Oryctolagus cuniculus: one gene and its partner. The protein of the gene in region 1 interacts with the protein of each later gene in a pairwise test. Links are inferred from orthologs where the notes say so. Each region holds a gene or a part of one and is shown on either strand. Other genes may lie near its edges.

Region 1 (4,148 bases):
TCCGACATGGGATGCCAGCATTGCAAGTGGCAGCTTAACTCACTGCACCACAATGCTGCCCCTCTAGATCTGTTTTCTATACCTGTGAAACATGGTCAACCATATGTTGCATCTCATACTTTGAGAGAAACTACCAGATATTATCTATGGGACTTACGCTTAAAAAAAGTATTGAAAAGGATGTAGGTGAGGCTCCCATTGCAGACAACTCCATTGCTCTCACTTACGATCCTGTGAGATGGTAAAGATTCCACATGGACACTGAGTGGAAAGAGCAGCAGTAGGGGGAATAAAGGATCTGAGGAAACAGGGAAAAGGACATTATCAAACAAGTTGTGCTAATAATTACAGCAATCTTTATCCTATAGAAACCTGATGAAAAGTTAAAATGGAATCAAAGTGACCCAAGGGAAGATGAAAATCAAAATCCATAATCAAAAGACTAATGAATCAACATAAGTAGCTATTTATAGATGAATGAATGAAGGAAATGTGGTATATACACACAATGGAACACTATTCAGCCAGAGAAAAAGAATGCCATCAGTCAGTTGAGGTAACACCAATGAGCCTGGAGGACAATATGTTAATCGATATGCACCAGGCACAGACAGACAAATACTACATGTCCTCACTCACATGTAGAAAGCTAAATAAGTTGGTCTCATGGAAGGTGAGATTAGAAAACTGGTTATCAAAGACTGGGAAGAAGAAGAGAAAGGGAGACACAGAAAAGTCAATTACATGCTACATAAATACAATTAAATGCAACAAAAAAATTTCCAGTGTTCTGTATCACATTAGGTGATTATAATTAACAATACTTTAATTATATATTACAAAATAGCTATATGGAAGGATTTTGACTGTCCCGTAACACAAAGAAATGAAAATGTGGGAAGTGGTGGATATGCTAATTACCCTGATTTGATCAATACACATCATATATATTTATGGAAATAGCACCCTGTTCCCCCAAAATATGTGCAATTATTATGTCAATTAAAAATGTAAAAATACACAAAAAATGTCAAAGTTGTTTTAAACCCATTATCTCCAGCATCATTCACATTTTGCACGGACTGATAGGGAATTTACCAATTCTGCATTCCTCCTTATTTTATACTCTTCCTCCTCCTACTCTCGGAATTTTGTAGGGAGAGACTTCATCAACTCTTACTGGTATTTCCCAGGATTCCAGTCTCAGATCTTCCCAAAGTTCGCATATTTTCTTAGAGAATCCCAACTATTCACATTCTCTTGAGGAATCCCAGCTGCTCCTCTCACTTGGTCGCAGGAAACCGGGAGCTCTCTCTGGGACGCTCCTGTCACACTTAGTCCTGGACAAACCCAGGTGGACCCTTGTAAGAAACTCTACCTCACCACGTGGGAAACTGAAGTTACCATCTTCCCCTTTAAACTTGCCCCTTCCTCAGCGACCACCCAGCCCCTCCTGCCCTCCCCAAGGCCGCCTCGTCCACGCAGGAAACCCGGGGTCATTCCCATCAGGCCAGCAGCGGCTCCACCTCAGACCCTCGCCGTCGGGCGCACAGCCCCTCCCCTCCCGCCCAGTCCGAATCGCGCGGCCCGCGGACGCGCAGGCGCAGTGTCCCGTCGTCCCGCCGCCGCCCCGCCCTGCCCGCCGCTGCGGAAGGCGCCGCGCGCAGCTACGCGCACTTCCTCTCAGGGAGACCGCGGAGGGAACGCAGGCTCGAAGAGCTCCGGGACGCTGAGGCCCTGCTCCTGTCAGACGGCGCAGACATGTCGGAACAAAGTAAGGACCTGAGCGACCCCGACTTGACAGCCGAGACCCCCAGCCGCGAAGTGCACAGCAGCCCAGGGGTTCCGGCGGGGGGCCCTGCGCCCGTCTCCCCTGCAGCGACCCTCGCAGGGCCACAGAGCCCTCCTCCAGGCCCGACGGCGCTCTCACAGCCCGAGCCGCCGCCCCAGGCCCCGAGCGATGAGGATGACCCGAAGGCCCTGCTGCAGGCAGCTGAGGAGGGCCGCGCCCACCAGGCCCCGAGCGCGGCCCAGCTGGGCCCCGCGCCGCCCGCCCCGGCCCAGCTGGTGCAGAAGGCACATGAGCTCATGTGGTACGTGCTGGTCAAGGACCAGAAGAAGATGATCATCTGGTTTCCAGACATGGTGAAAGATGTCATTGGCAGCTACAAGAAATGGTGCAGAAGCATCCTCAGGCGCACCAGCCTCATCCTCGCCCGAGTCTTTGGGCTGCACCTGAGGCTGACCAGCCTGCACACGATGGAGTTTGCGCTGGTCAAGGCTCTCGACCCCGAGGAGCTGGACAGGGTGGCACTGAGCAACCGGATGCCCATGACAGGCCTTCTGCTCATGATCCTGAGCCTCATCTACGTGAAGGGCCGAGGCGCCAGAGAGAGCGCCGTCTGGAACGTGCTGCGCATCTTGGGGCTGCGGCCCTGGAAGAAGCATTCCACCTTCGGGGACGTGAGAAAGCTCATCACCGAGGAGTTCGTCCAGCAGAATTACCTGAAGTACCAGCGCGTACCCTATGTTGAACCTCCGGAGTATGAGTTCTTTTGGGGCTCCCGAGCCACGCAAGAGATTACCAAGATGCAGATCATGGAGTTCCTGGCCAGGGTTTTTAAGAAAGATCCCCAGGCCTGGCCTTCCAGATACAGAGAAGCTCTGGAGGAGGCCAGAGCTCTGCGGGAGGCCAGTCCCAGTGTCCACTGCCCCCGAAGCAGTGTGTCTGAGGACTAGTGAGGTCTGGAGGCAGATTGATGGTTTCCAACCCCCACCAGGGCTGTGGAAGGGTGGGGGGCAGGTCTTAGAGTATTCAGGATTTACAGTGCAGTATTTCACGTGTAACCTTTCAGTTATCAGTACAGTGCTTTTATACCTTTTAATGCAATGTTGTATTCATTTGGGTACTATCAAGTAGTGTCTAGCATTTATGCATGTTTGTTTATAAGTAAGCTCTGTTGGTGCTTCGCTTTTGTGCTACCTTTCTTGGATTTTTTGTACCAGAGATGTGCTAAACTTATGAAATACATTGAGAAGTTTTCCATCTTATTCTTTTATATGGGACGATTGATGTGTACTGTATGATTGATGCACCTGGTGAGTGTGGAGAACTCACCAGCAAAGCTGGCCTAACCAAGAGAAAAGCCTAAGGCCCCTCTTTATGACCTTGATGGGCATGAGCAACATCTGGAGTGAACTGTTTTGAACTGAGATGGTCTCAATGTGGGCACTTGGCACACTTTACTAAACACATATACAACCTACCATGAGTAAACTTTAAACATTAAAGATTCTTGTGATACAATCATTTTTGGAGAACTGTACTCTATCATTTTAATAAACGGTATCATAGGGAATGAGAAGGGATTCCCCATTGTACAAAATATGCAAATACTTCATGATTAATCCTAAATGTGTATTTATATTGTATTATAAATACAACTCATATTTGTTTCAAAAGGTTTGAGAAATACAGAATGTGTAATGTCCCCAAAACAAGTAAAATTTTCCACAATCATAACACAAGGAAATAGCAATTGATCATATTTAAGATAATTTCTTGCCTTCATTTTCTATACTTTATCAAAGTTAATAGCTGCCTTTAGTGGTCTCTTAAAGAGGGAGGAATAGTGTTTTGTTAACTTTTGCCTTTTATTTAGTGCCCTCACTAAATAGTCGCTTATTACATCCACACAATGGAGGAAATCAGGAACAAAGTAGGGATGAACTTTGTGTAACTCACATAGCTGAGTAAAAGAGGGTGCTAGGATTTGAACCTATGCTATGAATCTGGAGCCCACATTCGTGCCCCTCAACCTACAACTCTACCTGTACCTCCTGGTTTTAGTTTGTTTATTCATTTTTTAAAAACTTAACTTTCACTCTTAGCTCCTAATCCCAACACTCAGGGGCTCAAGTGCCCCAACCACCCAGCCCCACAGACTAGTTAGGGATTTTGTTTTTCTGATTCATATCTTTTAGGCAAAGCGATATTACTCTGATTATAAAAACTAAGAAGCTTTGCTTCACAGAGATTGGTTGACCTAACAAAGTCCTATCCTTTCTTAGCACTGAAGCCAAAGTTTGAAACATGAACTTTCCTGAGGGTTGGAGATGAAAGAGCCCTCTCTGACAGGAGGTGTCAG
Region 2 (4,589 bases), on another chromosome or scaffold:
GATCTGGGCAAAAAAAGATAGGGCAGGTCACGTGGGGCCCCTCCCTGCTTCCTAGCTCACCCCAGCTTGATGTTTCACTGCATTCCGACTACGCCCAGTCCTCAGATCTAACCTATCCCCGGTGATGCCTGACAACCGACTCCTAATGTACCCTCAATTTAAACACATCCACATCCACAGGGGCCAGCGTTGTGGCTGACAGGCAAAGCCGCCACCTGCGACACCAGCATCCCACTGTGGGTGCAGGTTCGAGTCCGGCTGCCCCACTTCTCATCCAGCTCCTGGCTAATGTGCCTGGGAGAGCAGCAGCAGGTGGCCTGAGTCCTGGGGCGCCTGCACCCATGTGAGAGACCCGGAAGAAGCTCCTGGCTTCAGCCTGGCCGTTGTGGCCGTTTGGGGAATGAACCAGCGGATGGAAGCACTCTCTCTCTCTGTAACTCTTTCAAGCGAACACATATCCAGATTGCAAAAGACAGCTTCCAAGCCTTTATCCTAAGGAATTAAACTACACTGCAAACGTTATTCTGGCAGCGAATCGGGCTGAATCTGGGGAGGGCGGGGGTAGGGGAAGGGGCTTCAGGCTCTCAAGCACCTCCCGCCTGGACACGGATGCTATCAGTATGCGAAGGCCAAGGCCAGCACGCAGGGACCACGGCTGACTTCCCAAGCCCAGTGATCCTCCGGCAGACGCCACCCCGGCGCGGAGTGGGGTAACTGGCGTGGCCGAGTCTAGGACCAGGCAGCGCGCAGCGGCCCCTCCATCCCGCAGGGGCCTTCGTCTGCAAAACCACGGGGACAACCCGGATTTTCCACACGCCCCCTCTCAACTCCGAAGTGGGAATCCCGCGGGAGAAACACCACCTCGGCCAAACGGACTCGCGGCTCCGGAAAAAAGCCGGCCAAACGGGAGCCGTCGCCCGCGGGCGCGGGTGGCCGTGGGTCGCCTGAGCGGCTACTGACAGCCACGCGTGCCAGGCAAAGCGGCGGGGGGAAGCCGACCCGCTTCAGAAAGAAGCGCTGGGCCGGCTTCAGGGCGAGACCAGCGACGGCGTGGGGGCAGCTTCCTGTGCGGTGGGCGGGGGAGGGGCGGCGGCCGCAGCGTCCTCACGGCCCAGGAAAGGTCAGCCCCGCGGCCCCGGCCTCCCGCGCGGGCGGCGAGGGGCGACTCCGGCCTTGCTCGGCCCCCGGCAGGCATCTCAAACGGACCCCGAGCACCCCCTCTCGCCCCGGCTCCTCGCACCGTCCCGCGACCCGCGCGGCTCGCAGGCCGCCCCCGCTGGCTCGCGGCGGGACGGCCTGAGCCCCGGGGCGGCCCGCAGGGGCAGGGGCAGGGGCAGGGGCAGGGGCAGGGGCAGGGCCGCGTCGCTTACCCAGACGCCGCCGCGCCGGCGGGCCGGCTCCGCCGTGCGGGAGGGGCGGGCTCCCGCGCCACGCAAGGCACGCGGTGGCGCCAGCTCACGCACCGCCGCGGCCCGCTCTCGCGCGGCTTCCCGCGCCGGCCGCCCGGGCGCTGGGCCCACGTGACCCTGCGCCCGGCCGCGGGGCCGCGAGGGGCGCCGCGGAGTGCGTGCGTGCGTACGTGCGCGCGCGCCTGCCCGCCCGCCTGCCGGAGAGGCCGGGCGGGGGTCGGCCCGCGCTCCGGGCGCCGGCGCGGCCGGCGGTCGTGACTGTAGGCGGAAGCGTGGGGCCGCGTGTGCGCGTCACGGCCGCCCCCCACACACACAACCGCGTGACCCGGGGACTTTCCCCAGGGTGTGCAAAAGCACGGGCACCCGTCAGCTCGGGGTCGGGGTGGGGGAGGATGCGCCCGCGTGTCCGCCGCGCGACAGGGGTGAGGGCGCGGGGCCGGGGCGGCCTGGCCGCGGGAGCCCGGGCGGGGCACGGCGGGGGAGTGACTCAGGCAGGGCCGGGGGCGGGCGCGGGCCCCCCGCGCGGCCAGCCCGGGGCGCGGGGACCGGCGCCCCCGGGACGCCCCCGGCCTCCGGGCGCTGCGGAGCCGGGCTCTGACGTCTGGACGGGCGCGGGGGCCGCAGCATCCCGCCCTCGCGAGTCGGGAGGAGCCCGGGCCCGGCCAGCTGTGCAAACAGGAGGAGGAGGTCCCGAGCCCTGCCCTCGGGAAGAGGGGCGCGCGGGTGGCCGGGCCGCGCCGCGGTGCGGGTCGTGCCAGCCTCCCCGGAGCCCGACGCAGAAACTTGTTGCAGCAAACAGGCGACCGCGGGTGCCCCTAGCAGCCGGCGGCGGAGTGGGTGGGCGGGCGGGAGGGAGGGGAAGGCCTGGCGGACGCCGCAGCGAGCTGGTGGGCAGACCCGGAGTCGCCGCGTAAGCGGGGCCGGCTCAGTGCGGTGCGGCGGGCGCGGCTGTGCGGCAGCGGAAGTCCTTTGTTGCAGCACAGCCCCTGGCAGCGCCGGAGTCTCCGCGCAGCCAGCCCGAGCGCCGCGCGTCGCCGCCACTGCAGCCCGCGGCCCGCGGCCTCCGCCCGCCTTTCCCCGCGGCCGATCTGCCTTAAACTCCCTAAAACCTCCGCAGCCCCGGTTCCCGCTGCGGCCGGTGAGTATTTGCCAGCGGTGGGGCTATTTGCGCAACTTTGGCCCGGGCCGCGCGGGGCCGGGGCCGGAGTGCGGGGCGGCCGGTGCGGGGGAGCCGGACGCGCGGGGAGGAACGCCGGGCGGCGGGCGGCTGCCGGGCCTGCGGCGGGGGCTGCGGGGCGCGCCGCCTCTGGGGTCGGAGGGCGAAGCCCCCCGGTGGAGACGTGGTTCCCAAATTAGTTACCTTCTCTCCCCTGCGCCTGTGTTTTTTGGAGGGGGGGGGAGGGGAGGTGGAGGCGGGAGGGCGCGGGTGATTGACGTGCCCGGAGCCCGCTTCTCAACTCCCAGCTGCGGCTCCCGGGCGGGTGGGAGGGGAAGCGTCCCGGAGGCCGCGGCCGCCGACTCGGGCGCGCTCCGAGGGAGGAGGCGGCGGATTCTTGCTGCGCGCTTTTCCCACCCCCTCGCGCCGGCAACACATGCTGCTTGTTCCGTAGAAGTGGGTAGGTCTGGGGTTGTGTGCCCGGAGCGCTCCCGCGGTGGGCGCTCGCCGCGAAGTTGTGCGGGGCCCGGGCGCGGTGCGCGCAGGCACGGCTCCGACCCCGGCCGCCCGTTCGCGGGCGGGCAGCCTGCGGGGCAGAGGCGGCGATGGCTCGTGGGCGCCGGAGCGGGCCGGGGTCGCCGAGGGGGCTTCCCGCGTGGCAGGCTCCGCACTGGAGCAGTCCCCCCCGGGACGCTCACGCCCGAGGAGCGGTCCGAGCGAGCTCTCCGAGGTAACTTGGACTCCGGCAGCTTCTGGCGCTTTGAAGCGGATTGGGTGAGGGATGGCGGTGCTGGGGACCAACTTCAAACGCGATCGCGGTCGTCTTTGAAACGGGAGAACTCAAGTCTATGAAACTTTTTTTTTAAGGTTCATTTTATTGATTTGAAAGGCAGAGAGGGAGGGAGAAGCGGAGAAAAGCATCTTCCGTTGATTCTCTAAAGTTGTGTCATTGCAAATGGGTCTGGTCGGGAGAAAATGAGAATTGAGACAGGAAAAGGTGAGGCTGGCTGTCACGTGCTCAGAGCTTCAAGCTTGTCCTTTGAGGCCCTTGGCCGGGTCTTGACAGCGTGAATGCCTTTGGGAGCTAGCGGGAGGCTTCGTCCCGAGAAAGACGCGTGGCCGGGGGCGCGCGGGCAGCGCAGCCTGCAGCAGGAGCTGGGGCCACGTTGTCATTGCTGTCGGAGAACGGAGCAGGATGGCCTGCACTGTCAAGAGAGACGGGACTGGGAGCGCAGCGGGCGTGAGCGCAGCACAGCCACTTACTCGTGACCTTGTGTTCTGATTGCGCTTGAACGCTGTTCGGTTTCTGCAGGGTTTCCTGCGTCTCCCCTTCTGCCAGGCTCTGGAGAAGACGCGCCCCCCCCCCCCGGCCTGTTTTTTTAAGAGTCTCTGTGCGCGTTCACAAAACCATTTCCCTTTCTGCTGTGCAGGGGTGGAGGAGCACCTGCGTGCAGGCCTGTGCTTCCCTGGCCGGCTAAGCCTTTGCTGTTAACCTGGCCCAAAGGGGAGGAAATCATTCGGGATATAAATGCGGGGGAATTTCCGTAGATTTTTAATTTTTAGCTACAATATGTTGCCCCCCCCCCCCCCCCCACACACACACCAGGAGGTTTATTTGAGAAATGTTTGGTCACTTTGGTCTTTATAGAAGTTTCCTCCTGGTACTTTTCATCTTGTGCTGGTCGCTCTTATAGTGAAATTGCATTATTGTATGCTTTGGGAAACAATTAAAAGTTATGTCCTTTTTCTTAAAACGGAGATATCTTATAAACTTCAGGCACTTTGTAAAGATTCAACCTATACTGAAGTACATTACATATAAAAATGAAAGTCCTTTTGACTCCCACTCCCTCTGGGATAATCACTGCGAACAGTGAATTCCTTGTTGAACTTGAGAGAAGGCAGAGTTTGCTCACAGCCGTGTTGCTGTGTGTGCCTAAGGCCTGCCCAGGGCTGGTGTGTTGTGGTTCAGGGCTCGTGTTCTCTGTTCGCTGAGGGCAAGAATTACCAGGGAAGGGGAAAAG

The links. The genes of interacting proteins can lie anywhere in the genome.
Region 2: the proteins of NDN (region 1) and ZBTB1 interact in a two-hybrid assay, tested with the Homo sapiens proteins (2 studies listed by BioGRID and IntAct). The link is inferred for Oryctolagus cuniculus from reciprocal best matches to the Homo sapiens genes NDN and ZBTB1.

What each region holds. Positions count from the first base shown.
Region 1 is NC_091443.1:13,452,459-13,456,606, reverse strand, and holds NDN (necdin), read left to right. Parts: upstream 1-1,628; 5' UTR 1,629-1,761; coding exon 1,762-2,739; 3' UTR 2,740-3,310; downstream 3,311-4,148. UniProt on the Homo sapiens protein: Growth suppressor that facilitates the entry of the cell into cell cycle arrest.
Region 2 is NC_091451.1:5,938,725-5,943,313, reverse strand, and holds the start of ZBTB1 (zinc finger and BTB domain-containing protein 1), read left to right. Parts: upstream 1-1,618; 5' UTR 1,619-1,831; intron 1,832-2,303; exon of another isoform or gene 2,304-2,547; intron 2,548-2,769; exon of another isoform or gene 2,770-2,862; intron 2,863-2,882; exon of another isoform or gene 2,883-3,025; intron 3,026-3,031; exon of another isoform or gene 3,032-3,295; intron 3,296-3,314; exon of another isoform or gene 3,315-4,589.